Linked DNA regions of Diceros bicornis minor. The protein of the gene in region 2 purifies or fractionates together with the protein of the main gene of each other region. This does not show direct contact. Links are inferred from orthologs where the notes say so. Each region holds a gene or a part of one and is shown on either strand. Other genes may lie near its edges.

Region 1 (9,735 bases), on a different chromosome or scaffold from region 2:
CCCTTTCCTTCTCCTATATTTCCTATATCCAAGAATAGCTCATCATGCCTCAAGATACTGAGGTCATTGCTGATTCCTTGATCTATCATTCTTCTCTCATCTAAGCAGTTACTAGTCTTAGGAGCCAATGCCCATCTTTTCTGCATTCCACAGCCCCTGCCTCAGTTCTTATCTTCTCACTTTAGGGAACAGGCTCTGGTTTCTATTGTTTACCTGCCTCTATACTTGTTCTCTGTGCCTTGAACAGTCTTAGACCTCTAAAACATGAGAAATCTCCTCTTCCTCTTTACCTGACTAATCTTGTGATCTTCCTAGTCTTAGTTCGGCTATTGAGGTCTACCTGGAAGCCTTCCCTGACTACGCCTGCGCTGGGACAGGACTCACAGTCCCTCAGCTGTGAACTCACAACACTCTACTTGTCATACTGATCTTAATTGTTGGTTACTTGTCTCTCTTTCTTTATCCCTCAACTCCTCATACAGAATCTGGCCCATGGTAAATATGTACCAAAATGCCAATTGATGGGTTGGACTTGTTCTCCTCTCTCAGTCTTTGTCGATTCCAGTTCTTCCCTTGATTTTCAACTCCTTTTTGTATTTACCGATTTATATCCATAGCTTCCTTCAAAACATGTCTTTTAAAACATCTCTTTGGTCATAACCTTCTCCTACTTTCACTCATAACATTTATTCTTTATTCCTCTTGTCCTTATGGGAATGTATGCAATAAGTTTAACATTATAACAAAACCAACAAAAAGTTATACATGAACATAATAATTGCTTTCCTTAAAATAGTCACCTTGAGAAACTGCACATCTATTTTAATAATGTTGTCATAGCCACAGTCATTTCTTGAGCTGCTCTTTGAGGATGATTACCTTTACATTCTTCTGAACATATTTTAACAGTGTCAAATCTAATCTTTGCAAATGATTTTTAAAATTTGTGTATAGCTAAGTCACTATAAGCTATATTTAGTGAGTAAAGACAATGATCAAGCTGGTAACTCTATGGGTCAACAACTAAAAAAGTAATGTTATTATCTTTCTCTGAACATATTTGCACAAGGGAAATTCCAAAACTACTTTGACTAATTACGTTATTTTTGAAGAGTTTCTAGCATCCCAAGGTGTCTACTTTCAATAATGGTACTTGCTTAGCTGTTATAAAGTCCTTATTAAAATCCAGTGTTACAGCTTCACAGGCCTATGATCATACTGACTTGCACTTGTTTACTATTGTTTTACATTCTAGTGCAGCATCTATTATGTGATACACACTGGGAATGAATAAGGCCATGGTCCTTAGCCATAATGACCTCCTAATCTAGTTGAGAAGATAGAAATATAAACAGTCCTGTGTGAAAAATAGATATCAGTGTAAGATAAAGAAGCAGTACAGTGGAGAAACTGTCTGTGAGGGGTACGAATTTGCAAAGCCTTCTCAGGACTGAAGGATGAATGATGATTAGAAGCTCCCCAAGAGGAGGAGGGAGGGGGACTACAAGAGTTGTTCTAAGCCAAGGGAACAGAAGGTACAGAGACTGAAACAAGAAGACGTGTTTGGGATAATCTCAAGTCATTCAATACTGTTATTGTGTAAAGTTCACAGTGAGGGCAGAGAGGACAAGACATGGGGCCCAATGAAGTAAAGGCCTTGTATTTACCACTTTTTAGAAGTTTAGACTTTATCCTATAGGAGCCAGGGAGATGCTCTGTGGGTAGGATTTCCCTCCCCAACAGGACTGTAAACTCCCACATCTAATAAGGTTTGCCCCTCCCCCCATCCCTCCTCCCCACCCAGATTGTCTCAGATCCATCTCTTCCTTTCCACTCTGACATTACTTCAGGCCTTCATGACCCATGCCTGGACAATTTCACAAACTCATGGCTGGCCCTTGGACTCTAGCTCATCTTTTGCTCCTGACAATCAATTTTTCACAGGATTATCAGACCAACCTTCCTTTCCATCAAGTCACACTCCTGTTCAAAAACCTTCGATGGTTTTCTGTGACCTGAGAGATAACTGCCCCTCCCCCTTTTCAGTTTGTCCTTCAAAGTCCTGCATAATATGGTCCCAACACCCTTTCCGTCCTTGATTCCTGTCACTGCTCATAGTGCCAGAACTCATCTACTTATTCCCTAATCTGCACCTTTATTTTTACAGTGGCTCTCCCCTGGAATGCTACACCCACACAAACTTTTGTTGTTGTTTTTTATTTCAGCTCTTTTCTTACAAATGGCAAGCCCACCTGTACCCATGTCTGATCACATCTGCCACTGTCCTGCCTTGGAGGTAACCACTATTCTGGCTATATTCCATGACTATAAACTGTATGGTATGCATCCATAAATCATATATAGTATTGTTTTGAAAAAATTTAAGTATACATAAATGATATACTTTATATCTCCTCTGTAATTGGTTTTTCATTATCATTTTATTTTTAAGCTTCATGCCTATTGATATATATGAATATAATCTTTTCAGTTGCTATATTGCATTTCATTTTATAAATACACTGTATATTATTCATCAATTTCTCTATGGGTGGGCATTTAGGTTGTTTCCAATTTTTGGCTATTACAAAAAATGTTACAATGAATATCCTTAGCTGGTCTCCTTGTCCTATACAAATTTTGCTAACCTTTCAAGGTCCTGCTCTCATCCCAGCTCCTCCGTGAAAGCCTTCCCTGATTCCCCAGGCCCGCAGCAACCAAGCGTTGGTTCTCAAAAGTAGCTTGAGCATCATGCGTCTTTAGTATCATTCCATTGGGCCAAGCACAATGTTTCCCAAAGTGAGGCGCTTAAGAAATAGTCGCTAAACGAATGAATGAATGAATGAATCACCATTCATTCAATGAATCACCACAACCCAGTTGATGGCTCTGTTCATTTTAAATGGCTTTGGCGCCTTAGCCCCCATTTCCTTCTTTGACAGCACTGGTCCTTCTCTACTGCATTCCCCTAGCTAGCCCGAGAGTGTGTGGATGTGTGGGTGTGCGGGGGCGAGACCTATCTCACTGGATGAGGTCTGTCCCTCCTTGCAAGTTCACGATCTCGGCAATCCTAGTGTTTGAAGTTCAGAGTCCTAACACCCACCCCCTCCACCAGAGGCCGGCCCAGCGAGGCGCTCCAGCGCCAACTGAGTTAAGGCGCGTCCGGACCCACCGCGGGTTGGAGAAGGCTGGAAGGGGTATCTGAGGACCGTAGTAGATCCCTCCGCGCGTAGCTCGGGCCGGCGCTTCTTCCTGCGGGAAACCCCTGGGTGCCGAAGGCGTCGGGGCCCGGCCGCGGCGACAGGGGGGCGGGGTTTGCGGTGGGAGGAGGCGGCGGAGGCGGAAGGACACACGAGGCTGCTTCGCTGCACACCGAGAAAGTTTCAGCCAAACTTCGGGCGGCGGCTGAGGCGGCGGCCCGGGAGCGGCGGACTTGGGGTACAGGGAGTGGAGGCATTGAAGCCTGATCTTCCGGGCGCAGCGCGAGGCCGTGAGCCGCAGAAGCAAGAGGAGGGGAGGAGAAAGTGGGGGCTTCTCGGTCGGGACCCCCTCCCCATGTGGATCTGCCCAGGCGGCGGCGGCGGCGGAGGAGGCGACCGAGAAGATGCCCGCCCTGCGCCCCGCTCTGCTGTGGGCACTGCTGGCGCTCTGGCTGTGCCGCGCGGCCCCCGCGCGTGGTGAGTACCGGGCGGAGGGGTGCTGTCCCCTGCGCCCAGGCCCGCGCACCCCGCCCGCGCGCCCCGCTGCCCCCGCCCCGGCCCGGCCGGCCACCTGGGGCGACCGTTCCCCCCCCTTCCGTCCTCTTCTCTGCGATCAGGTCGGGCTCAGCGGTCGGCGCGGAGTGAGGCCACTTGGTTCCCTAGAGTTGCACATCGTTGGGGCCCCCTGCCCGGGCGCGCCCCCTCCCCGCGCTCCCCGCTGCCTCCGGCTCCCCTCGCTGGTGGCCCCACACATGCCTCCTCGGCCGGAGGGAGGCCGGGCAGCAAGTCTCAGAAACCCTCTTTCTCGAGCACTTGAGTTCGGGGAGTTGGGCAGTTTTGGCCCTTTGGTTCCGCGTTTCCTGGGGTTGAGGGAGAGCCGGGGGCGGGCTGCCCGAGACGAACCCTCGCCGGCCGCGCACCGCAGATGGGCTGAGCGAAGGAATGCCAGATTCCGGCGTGGAGCGAGCGGGGGCAGGGCCTCCAAGCCCAACGGCTTGCACCTTCACAGCCAGACTTCTCTTCGCCAAAGGGAGGCACACAGTCCGGGGGGGTGGCTTTGGTTTGGATGGGGACAGGGTTTTGCGGTGCCTCTGAATTCTGACACTCCGAATCCGTGGTCCCGATGAATCCGGTCTGTTTGGCTTGAGTCTTGGAAAGGTGGAGGCAGGAGCAGAAGGAAAACTGATGTGGCTGCATGCTGAGCCACATGATTTAAAAATCTCAACTGCTGTTATTCTTTCCGAGGCGCGGAGCTCGGGCGCTGTTTCGGATTCTGCGTCCAGCCCCAGGAATGTGGTGTGACGATCACCAACTCCTCCAACCTGGCAGCAGCATTTGCTGCTCTTTTGGCATGGTTGGGGGTGGGGCACGGGCGGGTGAGGAAAAGTGGATACGTTAATTCAAAGTGCTTCCTTAGAAAGCCTTTTTATGGTTGGATATTTGCAACAGTCTTTCTGAACACGGTTGGACCAAGGAAAGGAAATCGAATCATATTTTACCCATCCCACTCACACTCTTGGATTCCAAATTTCTTCAGGCTGTTTAGTGGGAAGAGCTTGGGCTTTGGAGCCCTGCTCTTTAATCCTGGGTTCCAGTCCAGCTATGCTGTATGAACTCACCAATAAAATGGGAATGAAATTACCCAGCTAATAGGATTAATTAAGAGAATGTATATTAAACCCATGGCAGTCAAAAGGTAGAAGGTCCTTTCAGGGCAGGGCTGTGTTTTATTTTTTCTGAACTCTGCTTCCAGTGGTGGCTTGTGCATGTTTGTTGAACTGAAAGGGGCCCCTTCTTTTCCTGGCCTAATCTGAAGGAAAATTTTTACCTTTATCAAAAAACTAGTACATGAGCTATGTCCCTTTGCAAAGAAAAGGTTAAGAAGATGATGAACTTTAGAAAGATTTGCTCTTTGTTCATTGTTAAGAGGCAGTCGACATGCCAATCACAGATGTTTAAAAGAGAACAAGGTTATTTATCACAGGGCTGGGTTGTTCAGCATCAACCAGATTCTTCTTGGAAGGTTCAAATTCCACACACCTCTAGGTCCCTAAGAATTTCAGAAGTGGACCAGGAGGCTGTGTGATGATGAATCAAAACTGTTGTTTCTAAAGCGTTTTGTTAAAAAACACATCCAATAGTGTTTTTTGCCTTTCCTTTTTCTTTGAGTGGAAGCTTTAGTATAAGTGTAGATTTAGGATAGAGAGAAATATAAACAACCAGCTAGTCTGAGGGTTGCAATGCTTGGTCTACAATCCTTCATTAACTTGTTTTAGTAAATAACTTAATCTTCATGGTCTGTAGTCTCCTCACCTATGAAATAGAGCTAAAGAAGTAACCTGCTTTAGAGAGTTGGAGGGAATAATATGATTGCAAAGTGATTTGCAAAATTAAGCGTTAAATGATAAGACTGATGGCAGAAATAGGATACTGTGACACACCGGGCTTCTCTCATTCTAGGACCTCAGTACGGAGAATGATATCCTCTTTTATACTTCTGCACTGATTAGGTATTGCTATTACTAGCTACCGTTCAGGTGGACAAGTTGAGTGTTAGTCAATTAGCTCAAAGGACAAGATTTAGATATTTTGATTTTTAGACAGGCATTCTTCAAATACTAAACTACTGCACTATAAGAGATTAAAAAATGTTTCTCGGTACAAATCTTAAATTTTTTCCGAGTCTAGCAGTGATGGCTTCTTGAATTTTCTCAATTTATTATCATTGTATTTTGCCAAGGTACAAATTATAACACACCCTTCCAGACTTTTGAGTGTTCCCGTATTTGGCTTGTGGCCAATTGTTAATTTAAACATCACTGAGTTCCTAAGGCAAGGAGCTGTCAACCCATCTGTCTGATTGTCTAAACAGCTATCCAAGACCACCCTTTGCTCCTTGTTTTCTTTTGCTTTGCAATGAGAAGTGACTCCCTGGTTTTGCTGCCTGCTAGATAATTTCTCAGCTGAATTCTTCACTTGCTTTTAAACAAATCACAAAGAGCAATTGTTTTTTCTTTCACATGGAGATTAAATGTACCCTAAAACTATTTTCCTTTTCTCTTTCTTTCTTCTTGTTATTCCTATATTATTATTCCTTTTTCGGGAGGGAGGAGGAAGGTGAGTGATTGTTTCTGGTCTCTCTTTTCTTTTTCCTGATGTTTGATTTAAAAATATTTACCCACATCTCCTTGACATCTCTCTGCACCAGTCCCACTCTACTGCCTCTTCTGTAGACTTCTTATGACATAGGGGAGTAACTTTTGGCTCACCTGAATTGTAGTTGCTGACTTCAGGACCTTTAGAAAATGTTTAAGTTCAGTGGGATATGCTTGGATGCTTCTGAGCAGCCTTATAATACATTTTAAAAATATCACACCCACAGAAATTCTATTTTGCCCACAAAATTTGCATTGATCTAGTTCCCACTCTCTGATGCAATTCCTAGTGGTCCTCCTCCTTACCCTGTCCCCTGTGACAGAGCAAAGCTCCATGTCCTGGCTGCTTCAGAATCAGCTGGGGTGACTCTTGGACTCAACACCCAGGGATTCTGATACAGTAGGTCTGAGAGTCTGCATTTTTCAAGATTTACAGGTTCTGATAGTACCTTGGTTGGAACCCACTGATAGTTCATTATTCTGCCTTCAGGTGTGTATATGGGGTCTTTCTTAATTTTAATAATTTCTGGAATGAACCTAACCTTATTCAGCCATTCCAATGTTTAACCCGCTGACTGGCAAAGATTTTTTAAATTGCTAACATAAAAGCTGTAGAGTGTAATGCCATTTCTTCTTGTTTATCTGGGCACAGTGGGTTCCAATTGTCTCTTTAGAAGGGCTTCATATATTTGAATGATACGATTATAAATTCTCCTTCCCTCTTTTCTCCTCTCTTATCTCTTTTTCCTCAAGCTTCATTTAAATATGTCATTTTGGACCGTTTGTCTGTTAGTCCTTAATGGTTTTGGAGTAAAAAATTCTAAGCCATGATTTGAATGAGAATAAAGTAAGAGATTTTACGTTATCCTTACATTGTGTTTACACTCGTTATTTAAGTGCTTCCTTTCTGGATATCTCTCTCTGATGCAACTTGAACTTTTCATTTTCTTCCCACTGTTTCCTGATTCCCCTCCTTTCTTCTTCCCTTTCTCTGTGTGTGTGAGTGTGTGTGTGAATGCCTTCAGACCAAAAGGTTTTCCTTTCTTCTACTTTTCTCTCTTTATTGGTCTACCATATGTATACTGATTTGGAAAGATCACTGTTTAGGGGCCTGAAGACCAGAATTCTCCTCCAGGTCTGTTATTAATTAGTCTTGTGATCTTGTGGGAGGGCAGTTTTGGTCCTCCATTTGCTCAGGTACCTTTTCCGTAGTCTCTGAGCCAATTACAGAGTTGAGACTAGAGTCTCTCTCTTCGGGTCCTCAGTCCAGTGCCTTGTCCAGTCTCCATACCACTTCTATCTCTTGCACAAATAAGCTCATGTACACACAAACACTCACAATATCCTCAGGTGCTTATTGTTAGTGTGCTTCTTGAGGAAAACAACTGTGTCTTTTAATTTATGTGTTTATTCTAATGCCCCCACTCCTATCCTTGTACCAAGCATGGTGCTTTGGCATCTAATAGGCAACTCAAAAAAAATTTGTTCATTTGAACAATTACTTTAGTCATTTTCTTATTCTGGACTACTATGGTACTCCAAGACAGTTTTTAAAAAAAAAAAATAGTATTTGCAAGAATCATTGCTTACCTTAAATTTGGGGAAAAACCAACTTTTTCCCTTCCCCAGCTGTTTTGTTTAAACTTGCCATTTTGAATTTCTTTGTGTGTGGTTTCTTCTTCTCTCTCTCTTTTTTTTTCTCATCACTTCTGCAATTCATAAAGGTCACTTTAACTTTGGAATTTAACCTCAAAGGCACTGGCACCCACCCCCTGCCTCTCACTTGAGTTGCTACTACTGCTTCCTGTATTACTATATTACTAGACCAGTGATTTCTATTATTTTGTTCAGAGTTGCCACACCTTATTGTAATTTGGTCATTTTGGGGTCTGTTGTAATAGTATTTTTTAAATTAAAGTTAACTAAGTTTATGTTTGTTTAGATGATTTTTTTTGAGATTCTTTTTCATTGTGAGCTGGATATTACAGACTTGTACTAGACTAAGAGGATATGTACATTTAGTAAAGTTTATTTGTTTTTTTTCCCCACCAAGAGAGTTCCCTGAAAACCACTACCATCAACAAAAACTCTAAAGGTGAGATATGATAAATAAATTTTTGAGAGAACCATACAGTGTGTGAGCTGTCTCCACCGCGGTTTGTTTCTTGAAGGCAGGGACTGTGTCACACATATTTCTTCTCTGGCCTACAAAACTTGTCTAGCATATGCCCAACATGCAGAGTCAGCTGAGCAGCAGGCTTGGTCACAGCATCTCTGACTCCTGCTCTGTCCTCCCCACCTTTGGGACATTCTGGAGGAGAGGCTGATGGTGAGTCAGAGGTGTGTCTTTATACTCCTTTCTCCTTTGAAGAGAAAAGGTCAGTTGAAAGCTGACCCCACCCACAGACTTTTGTGCTATCTCTTTTTATTAATTAATGGGTAGCTGAAATTTTCCTCTTTATTGACTTATGTGTTGGCAGGAACTTTAAAATTCATCTAGTCCTTCTATCCATCCCATGCTTGATCTGATCCTCTTACAGCATCCTGGTCAAGAGGTAGCCTACCTTCTTTGTGCTTCAATACCTCTTGTGATAGACAGCTCCCTGCCTCCAGAGGCGGGTTAGTCCATCTTTAGACAGCTCTAATTCTTAGAAAGTTCTTTTATTCAGCTGTAATCTGTCTCTTTATGATTTGCACCTATTGACATCTTCTCGGGAATTTGTTTCATAGAGTCCTGAGCCCTGTGTGGGTAACAAAGATCCAAAAGGGGTACTTTATTGAACTGACACCTACCCCTCCATGAAAGAGTTAAACTCAGTGAGGAGCATGCACATGATCCCATCTGGGGTGGTCTCCTGGAGATTCTGATTCAGTGGGGCTGGAATAGTATCTGGGAATTTGTATATTTAGAAATAGCCAGGTAATTTTTGTATCAGGGAAGTTTGGGAATTACTGCAGAGTGAATGTGGAGAAGCCAAAGGTTTGTTGTTTAGTTTTTGTTTGAATGTTCTTTGATAGTGCTAGAGATGGGTTGCTTTGACTGGGTCCTGTGGTCATTTTTTCCCCTTCTTGCTGCTTCTTGCTGCATGCTAGGTCACTAGGGAAAAGAAACCTGCTCTAGTATCTCCATAAGGCAAGTAAAATTGTTTGTTTTGTCTTTCAAAAAAATAATCTGCAGGGGCTGTCCTGGTGACGTAGTGGTTAAGTTCGTGCGCTCTGCTTCAGTGGCTGGGGGTTCGCGGGTTTGGATCCTGGGCATGGACCTATACACCACTCATCAAAGCCATGCTGTGGCAGCATCCCACATACAAAATAGAGGAAGAATGGCATGGATGTTAGCTCAGGGCAAATCTTCCTCACCAAAATAAATAAATAAATAA
Region 2 (9,735 bases):
CCGAACCAGCGAACCCCGGGCCGCCGCAGCGGAGCGCGCGCACTTAACCGCTTGCGCCACCGGGCCGGCCCCTCTTTTCATTTTTTTAAACTTAAAATAGTGTAAATATTCCCAAGACTGCCCTGAACGTGACCAATCTGACTGAAAAAGTCATGCTTCTCACTATGCATTGTCTCAACACAACAAACCTACCTAAGTATTTATACAGATAGGTAATTACTACCACTTACACAAACCATCCAGAGTGCCTCCGATGCTTCCTTTTCCCCACTAGTAAGTTATGTTCAGGAAATACATCACCCTTCTCACACCATTAGGATATCATTTCACTCCCTGAAGCAGAAGCAGGCCTAATGAGGCGTAAGTGACACTATGAGGTTGTGCCAGGCCTACGAGGCATTCAGAACTGTGGGCAGGGTGTCTGAGAGATGGTAGCAGTTGGGCATTCAACATTCCTACATTATTACGGTTGTCCTAGCAGAGAAGAGAGCAGTAAGAAGTAGACCCCAAAAAGTTGGGGGTGGCTCAATGACAACATCCATGTTCAAGCACTAATTTACCAAATATGTCTGCTCAAAATGCCAAGGCACATATTTCAAGGGCTGTGGTCCTCTGCACTAAATACTACACTGCTGCCTTCCTACAACATGACCCACACACCACAGGCTGCAATATAAAAAATCCATCTTGAACCCTGCCTGTGAAGGTTACCAAAAGAAACTGATTGTTATAACTAAAATATTTGTATAGAGTGCTTTACTAGTTACAACTCACTTACATATACATTGTTTTATTTGACCTTTATAATTTCACATATTTTACCTTACTTGATAGTGACAATGTGCCTGGCAGATAAACGCAACAAAATGATCACTCCTTATTTGATAGAGGTAGAACCTGAAGCTTCTACCTCTCAGATAGAGAAATTATCTATAAGTATCTGTCCACAAGACCTCAGTCTCCCTGAAGATTATCAACTCATTATTTGGTTCAATGTTGTGTATCCCAAAAGAAAGCAATCTATAGTGTCTTAAGATTTAAGTACATGCCTACGCATCTAAGTAGTACTTAAATCACTTAAAAATAATGGAACCTTTTGAGAAACATTTGACAGTCAACCATACAAAACCCAAAACGTGAAATTTAAGCTTGTCAGTTTTGTACAAACAATATAGTATTTTCTAATAATCCAAAAGGAACTACTGCCTAAGAGTCTTACTACAATGTTCTCAGGGTCTAAGAGACTGCCTGTAGCTGAAAATAGCAATTCCTTTGGGTACTTCAGCAATTAAATTTCCTACAGAATCAAAATTATATATATATATACACACACACACACATACACACACACACATAAACAAATTCTGCCTACATGAATCATGTTGCATGAAGGTCTCAAAGTACTCTGAGTCCTTGGTTCAAAAAACCTTTTGAGTATAAGAATATATAAATGATTAAGAAGAAAACAATATCTGCCACCAAGTAACTAAATGCCTTTGGGTGTGACCGACAATTACAATTCAGTATGACACGTCCAAGAAAATTATACTGGGTCCTTTAAGAACACACAGGAGGGGCACTGAACTCAGCTTGGTGGATCCAGTTAGAATATCCTCAGACCCAAGTCTGGAATAATAACGCACTAACACCAGCACTTTTCATGCACAGGGAGGCATTAAACTGCTGAGCCCACACAGGGAATTCCAAGTTCTTAAATATGGCTGGAGCACTGAAAACGAAAGGAAAGAAAGGCAAACAGTTCAGCTGGAGAAAAAGTAAATGAAGTAGTTACGAAGCTATATGCCACGCCAGCTCTTTTTTTTTTTTTTTTTTGATGAGGAAGATTAGCCCTGAGCTAACACTTGTGCCCATCTTCCTCTCTTTTGTATGTGGGACGCTGCCACAGTATGGCTTGATGAGCGGTGCATAGGTCCACGCCTGGGATCCAAACCTGCGAACCCCGGGGAGCCACAGCAGAGCACGAGAACTTAACCGCTACACCACCAGGCCAGCCCCACATTTTTTGAGCACTTGCTATGTGCCTGATATCCTACTAAATGTTTTCTTGCATTTAATCCTCACAACAACCCATTGAGCTAAGAATAATCTTGCAATTGATGGAAGAGGGAAGGAGAGGTTGGATCACTTGTCAATGTTACAGGTTTTAAGTAGCAGAAACAGAACTGGAATCCAATTCAGATTAAATCCTAATTGCGAGCTCATAAACTCTCCACTCCATTGCCTCTCTTAATGAAGGCTGCTAGGGGGAGCCATTGAAAGGTTTTTAAATTAAGGAGTGAAATGATCAGATTTACTCTTTAGAAAGACTGTGGAAGCTGGACAAAGGGGGTGAGTCTAGAACCAGAAAGAGGAAGGAGGAGCTGTCAATGCCTGCAGTAATCCAGGTGAGAAATGATGATAGCAGGAACTGTGGCAGTGAGGATGAGACAGACAGATTCAAGAGATATTCCAGGAGGGAAAATTACCAGTTCTTACTGTTTAAAGGTAAAGGGTTAGTTTGAGAAAGGAATTCAGAAACCTGCAGTGAGAAGCTAGTTGGGACATGATATCATCTGCCAGGAATAGAGAAGCAACAGGTTTCGTTTGTTCAATAAATATCTATCGAGTGTCCCCCAAATGCAAAAGACTTCCCTAGGCCAAGGGTCAAGTCTGAATTTATAGTCCTGGTTTTTAGAAAATATTTCTGAGAGTAACTGGCAAAGTGTTAAATAATATAAGGCATATTTATAACTAGTCATTACTATTAACAGACTTGGCCTAAAATCTAGCGAAAACAGTTTGTGCCACTATTTTTTAAAACAACTACTACATGCAGAAAACAAATCAATAGAGGAAAAGCATCCCATAATTTTACAACGTGTTATTTCATTTGACTTTGACATATCTTCAATCTCTTACACAACACACACATGCACAAGCGTGCACACATTCACACACAAATACCACTCTGTAATTTGTTTACTTATCCCTCTCCCTCTTATAGGTGGGAAATGTATCTGTTTTATTACTCAAACTATAATACATATTTGGGTTTTTTTCATCCCACTATGACTTTCCAAGAACTTAGTTCATAACCTCCTACTTGACTTCCTATAAAATATGACCTACTTCACATCAGCTTATTTCAGTAACAATTCCTAGACTTTAACCACACCTTTCATTCAAGGATGCTCTCTGCAAATCCTAAGGCACACCAATCCTGTGCAGATGTGGCAAGTTATTAACAATTCCCATTTTACTACATAGTTAGGAAATTGGCCCAGGGGAAGTAGAGTAACTTGGAAATAATCACAAAGCCAAATGCCAAAAATAACAACTTTTAGTCAATCCATGAGAAAATACTGCCCCTAGTTGAAATAACATGAAATTTAGTATTAGAAGGAAGCAAAATGCAAAATAATGCTTTAAAGCCAAGTTTCAGGTTTTCAAATTTATTTTTAAAAATGATTAAATACTAGAATTAAGATTTGTAAGAACTTGCAAACACATTTTTTCCCCTAATACCTTATCCAGAGTGCCAAAGATTATTTAATGAATTACAGCTGGCAAGTGTGGCTTCCCCCCCAAACCATTTTTTTTATCTTACACACTTAAAAGACATTAATAGAAATCTGCGGCTATAGGATAATACATAACTTTTTAACAAACTAGCTGCTTAAAACCTAATATCTAGAAGCATATATTAGAATAGATCTGAAAATACTGCAAGTGAGTGTCACATTTTTTCCTGAAAATATACTCTCCATAGACCCATCTGCAATACACATGGACAATAAATTTAAAACTTTAATAGTCAATAATCAGAATGAAAGTTTCCCAACCACCACTCATCTAGTATGTATCTAAATATGTTGCTGTTTGATATAATTTAGTAAAGGCTTTGTTTTATTTGGTCATGAAATAAAGGTCATATACAATTTACAAACAAAAAATACAACTAGAATTGTACAAGTTGCATTTATGGTGTTTGTGCGATCATTCTTATATACACAAGCCAGAGCAAAATATCTTCCCTTATTACACGGTATTTACACTTTGCTTACAGTCAGAATCAACACGATTTTCCCTTCAAAAGAATGATTATGCACTAAGAACAAGGGAGACAAATGATTATTGGCAAAATCCACTCATCAAACCCAAACTGCAAATTTTCACAAAAACTTCATATATCAATCATGAAACATGATTTTTCCATTAATTAAAATTCAAACTACTAATTCTAGTCAGACTTCAAAAAAAAAAAAAATGCTTTCCATCAACGTCCCTCACACTAAATCTTGTATATCCTCTACTAGTAGCATTTTACGTGGAGCTTTATAAATGAAATGACACTCCAAAGGATTTTATGGGTAACCTATATTCTAAAAGTAGTGATCAACTAGTGGAGGAGGGGAGAATTCGTGAACAATATATTCAGTCTAGTAATCCTGGTAAATCAAATACCTCTTATTCCCTGCACCAGAATATTCAGGTCGCTTAAATACACCACACCACTCTCCCCCCACCCCCACACACAACCCCAAGCTTTTAAATTACCATAACAATAAGAACTCTGAACAATTTAAAGTTCCTTTGACATTAGAAGTGCCTTTACCTTACTTAAGGCTATTACTTAAATGTCTTCAATTGCGTCTGCTTAAAGCATTCCACAAAGATTCTAGAAGCAGTATTCATCAACCAGAAACTGCCCTCTTAAGCGCTTTCCTCATTTCAGTTCCAAAGATGAGGCAGAAAGATTGTCATAAATTTACAGAGCAAAAGCATATAATTGTAAACTAATGACTAAGAAAAAGTAAAACATTTATATCAAATTCCCAAGCAGGATGCCGCCCTTTTTCCTTCCGAAGCAGGAGTTGCTGGTAAAATACAGTAACTAAACTCTAGACTTAGAGTCTAGAAAACGTTGAAATTCTCCACCCTAACATTCACAAGTTTTTAACATCAAAATTCACTTAACTGCTACTCACATATCAAATGAATATCCAATATGGATATCTGAAACTATTCTCACACCAACAGAAAAAAATACCTCGCGCCTCTTCTAATCATCCTACAATACCCTCAGGTAACCCAGATGCAAAGCTGCGGCAGCTGCCCTTGGCCTAGGCCGTCAGAAACCAAAGGGGGGGGGGGATTGGGGCACAATAACCAAGAGACCAGATCTTTTTTCAAGGCTACTGTTTCCAAGCAAAACAATCACGGGCCCAAAGCGACCGCGAAGAAAACTGGAGACACTGTAATCCCGAGAGAAAAGGGTGCGGAGAGGAGGAGCGCCGAGGAGGAAACTAAGTATCCCCCTGCATCTCTCAGACCCACAAAAACAACAACAAACCGTAGTGCCTGTCTGCACGTAGAAGAACCAGATGGAGTCCCCGGGGCTGAGACAGTTCAGCCGACATACACCGTGGGTAGTGGATAAATCAACCGATGATGGGAGGGGAAGAGGGGTGCCAAGGGAACAAGCCACTGGATGGGGGAGACAAAGCCTCTGGGGGTGCTCAAGGACCAAACAGAGAGGTGAAAGGAAAACACGTGAGAAAAATAATAAAAGAAAAATGAAGACAGAAATCTGGTGCCTGGGTTGTGGCAGGTCACTGAGCTACCGACTAGAGAGGGGCACAACAAAGGGGCACGGGAGGAAGGACAGCTAAAGGGAGGAGATAGAGAAGGGATGCGGGGCGCGACGGCTCGGACAAAGAGCCCAAGGCGGCGAAACAAAGGGCCGGGGGTAGAGAGTCGCGGGGGGCAGCGGGGAAAAACAAAGCGCCCGGGGACGGGGGCACTGGCTCGCCGAGGAGGCGACGACGGCCGCCAAGAACAAAGCTTCGCGGGGCCGGGAGGCAGGGCCCGCGGGCGGAGAGCGGGAGGCGCGCGGCGGGCACGGCGCCCGCGGGCCCCGCGCGCCCGGCCGCACTCAAGCCCGCACCCGCCGGCCTCGCCGCCGCCCGCCCTCACGCGCCGGAGCCCGAGCCACGGCGGCGCACGGCGAGCAGCGCACAACCACACGCCGCCGCGCTCGGCGCGCGCGCCGCCGCCCCCGCGGCCCCCGGAGGCCAAGCGCGCCGGGGCCCCCGAACCCGCCGCCCGCCGCGGGCTGCGAGACGCCCGCAACTTTCACGGTTCCTAGCGCTCGGATTCCCCCAGACTTACCCTGTCACAACAGGCGCCATCTTCCACAAACTCTCGCCAAAACTCCAACCCTCGCGAGATTCCCCCGGACGCCTTCCCTGGTCCCTCTCCCCCGCCCCTTTCCTTTTTCCTCACTCCTCGATTCCACCCAGCCCCCGCGCTCCTTTTCTCCTCGCAGCTGCCGCGAAAAGCCAGGCGCCTCGCGCCGCACGCGGAGTAGGGGATCCTGCTCGCTGCCTTCCCTGGAAACCTACCCAAGCGATGGAGCATGCGCAGGCGGCTCCTCCGCGGGCGAGCCCTCCGTGTGGTCCATGGGGAGCGCTCCGGTTATCCGGGTTTTGGGACGCGCCCTGAGGGACGTACGTGGAGACTGAGGAAAACCGGAGGGGATTACAACGGGGACGGGGAATGGAGGGGTCAGGAGGCGGGGCCGAGGGGAAGGGAGGAGGGGTCCTGGGAAAATCTGCCGCGTTTCACAGGCCTAGATGAAACACCTCCTCAAATGGGTGTTTTCCAAGTGGCTTCCCGCTCACTCTGGTTCCCAGCCCTTTTCATTCATTCAGACGTTCATTGGACGCTCCCTTTATGCTAATCTCAGCGTTGGGTGCTGGAGCTACAGAGATGTCTGGAGTTCGGGCGAGGGATAAACCAGGAACTATCTAAGTTCACTTGACCCTCATGCTAGCGGAGAGTCAGACAAGATTACAACGTGGTCCGACCCTCCAGAGCTCTGTAAACCAAAAACTTTTGCAGTTGAGCTCTGTCGCCCTTAGCTTTCTTCTCCTTGGGTGTGAAATGAGGTCAGGCCAAGGCCTCTGCCAGACACCTCTAATGTCCACCTCGCATATACACGCCAGAGCGCGCACGTAGTTTTCTCCAGAAGTGAAAACCGCGTTGGAATTGAGAGCCACCACTCCCCGACCCCGCACTCAAGCCAGAGATCCCATTTGGGCAGAGAGCTGCCAGCTTTGGGAGCCTCCCTAGGACCTCATCGCAGCCCGTAGCCCTGTGTGAACCCAGGTGTATATGGGGACAGACTCTGCCCAGGTCCTTCCGTAGGCCTGGCACAGTTGATGATGATGCTCGCTGCCGAAACGTACTTCAGGCGACCTGGGAAAATCTTCATCTTGGAAGCCCCAGAGCAAACTTGGCCCTTTGGGCATTTAATAGAAAGGTGCAGGGCCCGAACCTGGCCCCCTCCTTTCTACCTGCGGCACCCCTTTCTCCTCCCGCCCCCACTTTGCCCTTTCAATTCCTAGAGATTCCCAGATTCTGCACTGCCTCCCGCAGGGAGCCCCAAAACCCGGAGAACTGGAATCCGCTGCCGGAAACCTGCTGAAGGCGCTGCAGGATCAGCGCGGCACGCGTGAGCGGCACTGCGCATGTGCTCAATGCGGGCAGCCCAGTCTCACGCTACCTCTCCTTCCCACCGCCTTCCACTACTCGGTTCAGACACAACACGGGCCGTGGGAAATTTCCTAAACCTCGCGAGAACGCGCACACTGTTGCCTATGCTTTCGCCCGAAATCTCGCGGAGCCCAGGCGGGACAGGTGTTTGTCTAGTGCAGCTCCGGGCGCTGTTCGTGCCGCGCGTGCCCGGGCGGCGGGCGGCGGGCGGCGGGCGGCGGGCGGCGGACGGGGGCGGGGTGGGAAGAGAGCGGCTCGCCGTGGAGGCGGGGCGGGTGGGCGCGGGGCGGGGAGCGCGGGGCGGAGGGTGGCTGGGAGGGGGCCCGATGTCTCGCACACACACGCCCGGTGACGCTTGGTGGAAGAAAAATGGGTGGGGGAGCTTCTAAAGGAAGAAGGGGAAGCCAGGAGATTAGAAACTCCTCCTGGCGCGGATGGTAAGAGGTCACACTCTAGGGCAGGAGGAGCCCCAGGCCGATCCCCCGGGGAGGTTTCTTGTCGCCCTCCACGAGCCTGGTACTTTCCTAAAATGTGTTAGACGCCGCGCCCCCGGCCTCCGGGAGCTGACGGCCCCCGGTGTCGGGTTTGAGTCATTCCTCTGAGTCACCTAGTCTGGCTACCGCTTTACTTGCTTTAAAACAAGTTCAGATTCCCTTAGCTACTCTCTTTTAGCAATTGTTTTCTTTCTGATTTACCCGCTGGCCTCGCGAGTTCGAGAAGAAAAATGCTGCTCTTTGCGCTCTCTCATTGTTGCCTTGTAGAGATTCTGCCTCCCATTCAAGGACACAATTTTTTTTTATTTCTTCCCTCTAATCTCTTCCTAGCCTTTTTTTTTTTTTTTTTTTTGGTGAGGAAGATCAGCCCTGAACTAACATCCATGCTAATCCTCCTCTTTTTGCTGAGGAAGACCGGCAATGAGCTAACATCTATTGCCAATCCTCCTCCTTCCCCCCCCCCCCAAACTCCCGGTAGATAGTTGTATGTTATAGTGGCACATTCTAGTTGCTGTATGTGGGACTTGGCCTCAGCCTGGTCGGAGAAGCAGTTGTGGGTGCGCGCCCCCGATCCGGGCCGTGGGCCACCAGTAGAGGAGCGCACGCACTTAACCACTATGCCATTGGGCCGGCCATTCTTAGCCTTTTGAAGTAATCCCTATATATCACTGTCTGTTCTTGGTTGTTTTTTTCTTTCCTGCTAATGATAAGACTTAAAATACTGGTTTTGCTTTTCACCTTTCTATGTGTTTGTTGAAGTATTCATTCCATTTTAGGTATCGTTTCATCTGAAGCTTTAGTGCTAGCTGTTTTAAGTGCATCCTTTCTTCTTGAATTATTTATTTGTCTAGTGAATTCCTGGTTACATTCTTCAACCAGGCACATTTCAGATTCCCCTAGTGTGGTTTCTGGACCAGCCTGGCCTGGCATTGTCTAGAAACCGGTGTCTGGTGCCATCACAGACCCACAAATGTAGAATTGAATTGAATTTTAATATTTGAGTCCTTTAATAGGGGCCCATGTGCTACTGGTTATATAGTGAACAAGAAATCAAGTTTTTTAGTTGTTTTCAAGGTTGTTGGTTGTGTGTGTGCATCTGTCTATCCCTTTGATTAAATATTTCACACAGAAAAAGAAAAGATGTAAGAACATTTGATACAATATCTCAGTGCAAGTCTGATTTGGAACAAGATAGCTCAGGAGGGGAACAATGGCCATGGGCACACATTCCTTGGAGTCTTCAAACCCAGGAAGGCATTTCAGTCATGGTCTTGTCTAGGCCATTAATCTAATTTGGAGCCATGGCCATCTGAGAGCCCGAGCCATGGAAAGCCATGGTAACCACAAGTCAGATCACAACTCATCTTCACCCTAAAACATGCTCTGCCTGCAGTCTTTCCTATCCCAGTAAAAGACACCTCCGTCCTTTCACTTATTTAAGCCGAGAACCTTGGAGTCATTCTTGCCTCCTTTCCCTCTCACCTCCAACATCCAAACTAGAAAAATCATGCTGGCTCCACCTTCAAAATAGACCCATAGTCCAAACACTGCCACACCTCTATGGCTACGAGCCCAGTCTAACTCATCTCATTTTTCATCTGGTTTACAGCCAGTTTCCTAACTGGTTCTCGCTTCTTCTGTTCTTGCCTTCCCGCAGTCTGTTCTCAATAGAGCATTCACAGAA
Region 3 (9,735 bases), on a different chromosome or scaffold from region 2:
AGCAAGCTCAATGGTATATAGGACATGTAGCAATTTTAATTTTGTTAAGCAAGATTTTGAATGCAGCATGCCACAAGGGACAGTATGACGTTGTGCTCAAAACCACAGACTTCTGAGGAGTAAGACGATCTTAATTTTGATGTCTACTTTCAACCCTGACCAGTTGTGAGAACTAGGGCAAGTTACTTTACCTCTCTGAGCCTGGTTCTTCATTTACACAAGGAAGAGAATTTACAATGTATACAAATGCCTGGCACAGAGTAAATACCATAAATGGCAGTTGTTATTGGTCATTTAATTATTCAGGTCCATATATGGGAACTGGTCACTTTTAAGGCAAGTGAAGGGAGTCCAGCCAACTTAGTCACATCAAGACACTGTTATTGTTCTCTACTCTCCTGAAGTTACATTTTACTGCATTTTGTAGAGGAAATTACATCAGCCTCAGCACCACTGACACTTCGGGTCAGATCATTCTTTGTTGTGGGGGGGCTACCCCGTGCATTGTGGAATGTTTCATTAAGCAGCATTCCTGGCCCCTACCCAGTAGACACCAGTAGTGTGCCTTGCCCCAAGTTGTGACAGCCAAAAATGTCTCCGGACATTGTTCAATGTCCTCTGGGGGGCAAAGTTGCCCCAGTTAAAAACCAGTGGTCTAGCACTCTCCACAAACAGGGGAATTCTCAAAGATCTCAGGAGGTAGCCCTCACGGGGGCAAAGGTTTATTCCAGCTACTCTTTAGTATTATCTCCTCTTCTGGGCTCCACCGCCCATTATTATCCATAATTCAAAGTTGAACATAGAAAAGTAATTTTTTTGGCCCAATTTGCTGTCAGAAGATGCTTTAAGTCATAGGAAGGAATGCTGGCCTGGTCGTCTTCCTCTCATGACTCTATGCCATAATACAAAATGCTGAACTCAAATATCAAGAAATCTGCTGTCCTATTTACTCTACATAAAACTTATCTTTTTAAAAAAGGCCATAGACTTTTTTTTTTTTTGTGAGGAAGATCAGCCCTAAGCTAACATCCATGCTAATCCTCCTCTTTTTGCTGAGGAAGACCAGCTCTGAGCTAACATCTATTGCCAGTCCTCCTCTTTTTTTTCCCCAAAACCCCAGTAGATAGTTGTATGTCATAGCTGCACATCCTTCTAGTTGCTGTATGTGGGATGTGGCCTCAGCATGGCGGGAGAAGCGGTGCGTTGGTGTGCGCCTGGGATCCGAACCCGGGCCTCCAGTAGCGGAGCGCGCACACTTAACTGCTAAGCCACGGGGCCGGCCTGGCCATAGACTTTAAAATGACTTATAAACCATGTTATTACCCCAAATGAAGAAGTTTGTCTTAGTTGGGAAGGTGAGAGAGAATTTACGCAGTGAATAATTCCCTGGAAAGAAATGACTCCACTGTTTGCGGGGGTGAAGCATGTGTGATGTATATAAAGTGATACGTTAATGGCCACAAGACTCTGGACAACTCTTGATTATTCACAACAAATCCACTGTCTATTTTTCATTTTAATAACTGCACCAGAAGGCAGGAGCCATTTCTCACCCACTGTATATCCTGCACCTAACACGGAGCCTCCAACAGAGGCGGTCACTCAGTAAATGTTTGTTGAATAAATGAATGGTCATACACTCTGCTTAATTAAGTACTCTGGTGACAAAAAAAAAAAAGAACCTTTCTTTGCTCTCATCCAACAGCAGCTAAAAGAAAAGATCTTTTAAGAGAAAATAATTACAGTCCACTCTCTTTTACCCCAAATGCAAACAACTGGAAAGTTCAATTAACCAAAAAAATTTTGTAGGCAAAAGTTGAGGAAAGCAGCCAAATAGATAAGGCCTCAAGTTCAAGCGAGCACGAACATTTGTTCAACTCCCACAAGGTTATAAAAGCCAAAGATGCTGGCACCAGAAGGGGAAAAGGGAGAGGTGTGGGGAAGGGAACCCGGAGGTGGAGCACCAGCACAGGAGGCAGGCTCAGAAGGTTAGCTTCCATTCCTTCAACAAACTGGCATTATTTTAAAACGTCAAAACTTTCAGGGCGAGGGTCAATTTCCTACACAAAGGCTTGACTTACAAATGACTTTTCTAATGGATAGCAGCAAAATCTTTAAGAATATTTCAAAAGATATTTGATCATACTTTTGTTAATTTCTGAAATTTCTTCATCTTTTTTCCTCCAGTCCCACAGAGCAAACAACAGGTTCTCAAAAGCCTGGGTGAAAGATACTCCATTTACTCCTTTCATCTGGAGAAGCTTAAGGGCCCCCACCCATCAACACACTTCTTTCTGTAAAAGATTTTACCACTCTCAGCATTCTACTCATAAGAGAAAAACAGACAAATTGTATTTTTATATGTACTATTTTAATTTTTATTTATTTATTTATTTTTTGTGAGGAAGATCAGCCCTGAGCTAACATCCATGCCAACCTTCCTTTTTTTTTTTTGCTGAGGAAGACTGGCCCTGGGCTAACATCTGTGCCCATCTTCCTCCACTTTATACGGGATGTCGCCACAGCATGGCCTGACAAGCAGTGCATCGCTGCACGCCCGGGATCCAAACCCGGGCCGCCAGCAGCTGAGCGCATGCACTTAACCACTATGCCACGGGCCCCTGTATGTACTATTTCTAGATTGCTGCCTGTGTACAGAACAAGTATCACATTAACATTAGAAATGATGCATACAACAGTGTTTATTTAAATGCATTTTTGTCAATCTTTGAGACCAAAAAGCTCTATTTCCAGTTTAGCATTTCCAGTAAACAAATAATTATTCAAACGGTCCATTGAGTTTGATACATATTAAATTAGTTCCAATTAGCTGGTATCATACAAGAGGAATTTTACCAATTTAAATCTTACACAAATTTGCTTAAGTTTCACTCAAAAATCTAGACTTGGTTGAAAAAAACACGTTCCTTCTCCAAAAACTCAATATGGAAATGGTAGCTTAGAATTTCAAAAACCATATATGGTTACAGAATCTATATGGTAGGCTTAGACTATATACTTATTGTGACGTGGTTTGCACAAATCATGGCCCATCTGACCAATTTCCTGTTGCATAAAGATTCTATTTGCTCTTAAAAATGTTAAATAAGCATTTTTAAAGACTGAAGATAAAGACTAGATTAGAACCTTATGTAACCAAAATGGGAAGGCACTTATAGCCTCACCACATTAAAGACCTATGCCTTTTTAACATGTGTTCTTCTTAAGCAAATATGAGCATGAGTTTCCAAAGGCAGAGCTACCATCCCAGAAGCCCTTGCTTCTTCAGTGTAAAGAACCTGGAGAGTTCTGTTCCTGGAGAAGGTGAGCTGGGGAGGGAAACCCTTTGGAAAATTCCAAGCGGCCCATAATTTAAATTTAGGCTTTTCTGCAAATGTTCACGTTTCCAAGGAACAACATAAAATTTACATTAAAACTGTCTTAATCAAGATAACAAAAATATTATTCCTGCTGCTCTATAAACTTGCCATAGATTTGATAACCCAGGGAAGAATTACAGGCAATTACAAAATGATGGCTCCAATTAGGAAAACTGGATCTATTCCAAATTCAAATCAAAGGGGGCTCAGATAATCCCGATGGAATAATTTAAACGAATATAGGGGACTTCCAGCAAAGACACACATTTATTCTATTTCTACCTCTTCTGGAAGCCAAGCAAAATGCTACTACGACGTATCTCTTGCCCTTCAGGAAATTCAAAAACCAAACCTGGAGTCCCCTTAATAAACATTGTTCTCTTCTTTTCCCAAGGGGTCTCCCCGGTACAGGGTTTTTTTGTAAAGGGCAATCAAAACAAACCTGAGAAACTCGCACAGTCCCAAATGCAGAAAATATTACAGCACTGAACACGAGCCACACACAGTCCTCCCTTGCCGATTTTCAAACCTCTACCCAGTCCTGGACGACTGGGAAGAGGCCGCGAGGAACGGAAGAGAAAGAGAAACTTCGAAAGCAGAAACCTCTCTCCCAAGCCTAGAACAGACGGCACCTTGTAGGGATTTCGTGATTTTTGAGACGGAAAGGTCACACCCTGCAGTTTTGAAAATCCACCTTCTAAGGCTCAACCCACGTGATAGAACCTTCCTCTTGCTTCTCTAGGTTCCACGCTGGAGCTGAAATCCCCCACTCTCCCCACCCCCATTCGCCAACCCCTCACCATCCTCTGCGAGAGACGAACCACAGCAGGCCCTCCCCCTCCCTCCTCATTCTCTCTGCACCCCACCCCCACTCCTCCAACCACCGCCCTCCCCCAGCATCCCCGTCGAGTAAACCAGGACGAGCCCCTTCACCTCCGCTCCCTCTCATCCCCAAGCCCCGCCATCCTCGTTGAGCGAACCAAGGAAGGTCCCTCCCTCACTCCCTCCTCAGTCCCCGCCATCCTTGATGAGAAACCAAGGGGAGCCCCCCATTTCATCTTCACTCACTCCCCACAACCCCCGCTAGCTCTCCTTGTTGAGAAAACCAAGGGGTGCCCCCGCCTCGCCCCACCCCCACTGCCCGCCATCCTTGGTGAGAAAACCAAGGGCCCCCCCTTCACTCCCACCCCACTCCCCACCATTCCGCAGAGGAAAACATGGAGAGCCCCATTTTCACTCCCGACCCCCCACCCCTCCCCTCTCCCTCTCCCTCCCCGGTCGCTCCCCATCCCCATCGCCCGCCACCCCAGTGGCGAGAGCCCAGGGGAGGCCGAGGCACGCACCATAGGGGACCCCACGGTCGGCCGTCCCGCAGCCCGCAGCCGGGCGCGCCCCCAAGCCCCCACCCCCGGCCAGGCGGCCGAGGCCCGAGGCCGCAGGTACCCAGCCCCGCAGGCCGGGCAGCTGGGGCGGCGGGGGCCAGCCGGGAGCGGCGGCGGCGGGACAGGAGGGCAGCCGCTCCCCCGGGACGCGGGCCCGGCGGGCGGGAGCACACACGCACGCACACGCGGAGAGAAAGCGGGCTTACTGCCTGGGGATGCTCGCCCGCACAGCTGTCTCGGCGACGGCCGCTGCCTGCACCGAAGCCGAGGCGCGGCGGCGGCGGCGACTGCGGACTGAGCCCCCTCGGCCGGGCGCTGGATGTAGGGCGCGGGAGGGGCGCGAGGGGAGGGGCGCGCGCGGGGGAGGCGGGCAGGGGGAGGGAGCGCGCGGGGGCGGGCGCGGCTGGCCCGGGGCGGGGCGGGGCGCGCGCCAGCCGGGGCTCTGCCCGCGGGGGCTGCGCTGCGGGCCGCGCGCGCGGGAGCCGGCCTGGCGCGGGGCGGGAGCGCCACGCACCCCGCGCGGCCACGTGCCCCCGCTACGGGAGCGGCCCGGCTGCCTGCAAGGCGCGGGCGCGCGGGGAAGCTGGCTGCGAGCGGGCGGTGGCGAGCGCTTCCCCGGAGGGCCGGCTCCCGCCTGGAGGCCGAGAGGAGGGCGGGCTGTGGGCGCCCGCTGCCCCCCTCCCTCGCGTCGCAGCCTTCGAGGCCGGCGGGGCGTCACGAGTCACTGTAGGCAGCCGCGGCCAGGGCAGGCGAGGTGGGAGCAACAAAGAGAGTCGAGCGAAGGTGGCCTGTCCGGGGGCCTCAGCCAACCTGCGCACTCCCTGCAAAGCGGCCCGGGCCCGAAGCGCACCCGGTTTTGGCCCCCGACTGCGGAGCCCCGTGGTTTGAAGCGGCGCCGAAGGACCCACTGGCGACCCTTCCCCTTAGTAACAAACTGGAGGGAGCGAAAGGAGTCCCATCCATAAGCCCAACGCCGCTATCCAGAGGGCTTTACGTCACATCACTCAGAAAAGCACCGATGGCAAAGCCGCACGTGGCTACTCATTCATTCACTCAACATTCAGTTTACTGAGCCCTCGCTATGTGCCAAGCACTGTGCCAGGCGCTGGGGATACAGCGCAGAGTCCTGCAGAACACTATCCGCCCTGCCCTAGGAGCTTGCAATCTAGTGGGGGAGACAGACGATAAAGAAGTGAGAAAAGAATCACATTCGGGATAAGACCTGTGCAGGAAAAGAAAAGGGTGCAAATTGTGTGGTTAGGAAAAGAGGAGGTGGCATTTAAGCTGAGCCCTGAAAGTTATGAAAGAAGCAACCATAAAGAAGAGCCAGAAAAAAGCCTTCCGGAAGGAGGGAGCAGATAGATAGATGTACGAAAGCCAGAAGGAGGGGGCAAGTCTTGATGCCTTGGAACTAAGAGGTGGTGATTGTGATTGGCACCAGGAGAGCTGGGGAGAGTAGCATAATGTAAGCCTGGACAGGTTGGCAGGGACCGGATCATGGACTGCCTCCCAGTCAATGGGCAGACCGTTTTATTCCAAAATCAATGGGAGGCCATTGAATGAGTGGCTTTACCCCAGGGCATGACTTGATCTGATTTATATTTCTTTTGTATTTCTTTTTTTGGGGGGATAATTGTAGATCCACATGCATTTGTAAGGAATAATACAGAGAGAGCCTATGAACCCCTTACCCAGTTTCCCCCAAAGCAAAACTAGTACAAGATCACAACCAGAATATTGACAGTGGTGAAATCTACCAATCTTATTCAGATTTCCTTGGTTTTACTTGTACTCATATGTGTGTGTGTGTATGTTTAATTCTATACAATTTTATCACCCGTGTAGGCTCGTGTATCCACCACCACAGTCAAGATACAAAATAGTTCCGTCATTACAAGGATCCATCCTGTTGCTCTTTTGAAACCACAGCCACCTCTTCAGTCTCCCTAGTCCCTCACCACTGGCCACCATTAATCTGTCCTCCATTTCTATAGTTTTGTCATTTCAAGAATGTTGTGTAAATGAATCATACAATATATAACCTTTGGGGATTGGCTTTTTTCACTCAGCTTAATTCCCTTGAGATTCATCGAAGTTGTTGCATGTATCCATAGTTTGTTCATTTTTATTGCCAAGTAGTATTCCAGGTCTGATTTATATATATACATATATATTTTTTTTGTTTGTGAGGGAGACCAGCCCTGTGCTAACATCCGATGCTGATCCTCCTCTTTTTTGCCGAGGAAGACTGGCTCTTAGTTAACCTCTGTGGCCATCTTCTTCTACTTTATATGGGACACCGCCACAGCATGGCTTGACAAGCGGTGCGTGGTGCGCCCGGGATCCCAACCTGCGACCTCCAGGCCGCCAAAGCGGAGCGCGCGCACTTAACTGGTTGCGCCACCGGGCCAGCCCCCTGATTTATATTTTTAAGAGACCACCTCCACTACCATGTGGAGAAAGGTCCAGAGGAAACTGAGAATGGAAACAGGGAGACTAGTTAGGAGGCTTTCCCAATAGTCCCCATCAAAGCTGATGGTGGTGTACACTTGGATGGTGCCTGTGGAGGGAAGGGGAAAGATTTGATGGAACAGGTTTGAAGAGGGAATTAGAGTTGAAGTAGAGACAGCATAGTGTAGACAATCGCTTTGAGACATTTCCCTGTAAAGGGGAATAGGAGTGGAGTGGAACGAGGACAAGAGACAAGAGGCGATTCCTTTCTCTTTTTAATTTGAGAGATGAGAGCATGGTTAGGAATAATCAGTAGGGAGGGGTTGCTGATAAGAGAGAAGGGCTTACTAAAGAAGTCAAGCCCCTGCCTAGGTGAGATGAAGTGAGAGCGGGATTCCACGTGGAGGATCGGCCCTCCACCTGGAAAGGCTTTCTCCACTGTAAAGACCAGGAGGTATATGCTGATCAGGGGGCGGGGTACGGGTGTGTGCGTGGGGCGGGGTGGTTAGCCATCTCTATAGATCAAGCAAATCCAATCTGATGACTCCTGTTTTCCCCTGTGGTGCACGAACTGGGCACTGGCCTCCCTTAGGAGAGAGCATAAACCCTTTCAAGGTTCCCTTCTTTCTCTCGGGCACCAGGGGCCTAGGCCTTCCCCTATCCCATTCCAAGCCCTCAGAAGCACTGAAGTTTGTTTGGTCTTCTGGGATGGCAAGAGCTTCACACTTGCTAGGAAAAGAAGGCAATCTGTCCCACCCTGATCTTGAGAAGGCTCTGAACAATCAGCTCTGCTGCAGGCAACTCCCCAAATAGAATACCAGCCCAGGGCCCAGTCCCCAAATAGCCAAGAAGCACCCAAGATGGAGGGCTCCGGATGAAGGGCCCTCTCCCAGGGAACTTTCTTGCCATCCTTTGGCACTCAGTCAGTGTTAGTTGTGGTTCATTCCTCACAAGATCCCTTTCTTCCTCCCACCTTCCTTCTCTATCTTTCCTTCCCTGTCCTTTCAGCCCCTACCTTCTTTCTCACCTCCCCCACTTCTTTCCTCTCTTCTTCCCTTCTGCAGATATTCACAATGTGCTCCTGCTAGGTGCAAGGCGCAGATCTCCCACATTGCCCACCCCACCCCCCGGCCCCCCGTAGTTTACACCCAAGGCCAGTCCTATCCACCTCTTAACAGTTCATCTCCTTGGATTTGAACTCAACTTCTGTGGGTCATGGAAACATATTGTTCCACTTAAACTGTGGGGGGGACTGTGTTGCAGAATAAGCAAAATGGATAAAAGGAAAGAGGCTGTCCAAATTGTGAACTTGTATGCTACATTCTGGTAATGTTTTCAGCATCTAGAAGCAAAAAGACACTAAATAGACTACAATCAAATGGTATGAGCTCAGATCTGATCTTTTTCATTTCTGTTTGAGTAAGGAAATAGGCATGAGGAGAGGGTCTTAGATTTTAACAGAATTTAAAGTCCCCTCGGAAGGAAATAGGAAGCGTTTATCAGCATATAAAGTAATCAAGACCTTTGCCTTCTCTCCAGAAAGTACCATTATGACTAATGTTCTAAGTTATTGAAAGTGTGTTACATACCAGACAGTTTACATGCTTCGTTTTATTTACTCTTCATGTTAGATACTATTATCCCCACTGTACAGATGAGAAAACTGAGGCTCAAAGAGGTTAAGTAACTTTGGAGCCAGGATTTAAAACCAAGCAACGTGGCTCCAGAGTCCACAACCCAACCATATACTACACTTCCAAAGAGTTAATCACTTTTACTATGGTCATCCAAAGTGGCTGCTTCTCTCTGGTAAGTGATTTTTTTTGCAAAGTGATTCTGAGTCCTTCATCTCAATGGCTTTTCCCTATCAATGGAACCCACCGAGTTCAAGGGTCTCCTTCCACAAGAGGCCTCAAGCCTACAGACCGTTACTCCATTTCATGTTCATCACACACAGGGACATTTGGCAGAGCCCGGAGCAACTCCTAGGAGCACATGTACCTCTCTGGCCAGCCTGATTTCCCACCTCTTCCCCCTCAGACCCTATGGGCCGTCAGCCTGGCGGGTAGGAGGATCTTGAAACATATCCTGTGCATTCCTCTCTGGAAGCCTTGGTTACTCTGGCTCCTTCTACCTAGAACACAGTTTCAACAACTTCCAGGACGTCTCTACATTTCACAGGTATCTCCCTGCTGCCTGCCAGCACCCTGACCTATTTCTCTTACTTATTCTCTGTCTCTGGTAATAGCATGCCACCCACCCAGGTGCCCAAGGTAAAAGCTTCCATTACTTTCGACTCCTTCTTCACGTCCAAAAGATCCTCAAGTCCTGTAAATTTTACTTGTGCAGTAGTCAAACCTTACCTCCTCTTCCAAATCCTCCCTGACCAACTTAGGCAGAATTAGTTGCTGCCATGGCACTTGGTTTATACTGTTAGTACAACAGGTAATTGTTTACAAACCTGATGATTTCAGGGGTCCATTTCTCCCACCGGATCATAGGCTTCTTGAGGGCAGGCAATG

What was found.
Region 1: the proteins of RBPJ (region 2) and NOTCH2 purify together in Homo sapiens (affinity purification with mass spectrometry; 3 studies listed by BioGRID and IntAct, counting the BioPlex papers as one, with this or other methods). This does not show direct contact. The link is inferred for Diceros bicornis minor from reciprocal best matches to the Homo sapiens genes RBPJ and NOTCH2.
Region 3: the proteins of RBPJ (region 2) and FHL1 purify together in Homo sapiens (affinity purification with western blotting; 4 studies listed by BioGRID and IntAct, with this or other methods). This does not show direct contact. The link is inferred for Diceros bicornis minor from reciprocal best matches to the Homo sapiens genes RBPJ and FHL1.

Annotation. Positions count from the first base shown.
Region 1 is NC_080743.1:51,964,487-51,974,221, reverse strand, and holds the start of NOTCH2 (neurogenic locus notch homolog protein 2), read left to right. Parts: upstream 1-3,376; 5' UTR 3,377-3,604; coding exon 3,605-3,677; intron 3,678-9,735. UniProt on the Homo sapiens protein: Functions as a receptor for membrane-bound ligands Jagged-1 (JAG1), Jagged-2 (JAG2) and Delta-1 (DLL1) to regulate cell-fate determination.
Region 2 is NC_080747.1:21,260,738-21,270,472, reverse strand, and holds the start of RBPJ (recombining binding protein suppressor of hairless), read right to left. Parts: upstream 6,500-9,735; 5' UTR 6,464-6,499; coding exon 6,405-6,463; intron 6,244-6,404; exon of another isoform or gene 6,192-6,243; coding exon of another isoform or gene 6,172-6,191; intron 1-6,171. UniProt on the Homo sapiens protein: Transcriptional regulator that plays a central role in Notch signaling, a signaling pathway involved in cell-cell communication that regulates a broad spectrum of cell-fate determinations.
Region 3 is NC_080781.1:123,825,238-123,834,972, reverse strand, and holds the start of FHL1 (four and a half LIM domains protein 1), read right to left. Parts: upstream 5,055-9,735; 5' UTR 4,969-5,054; intron 1-4,968.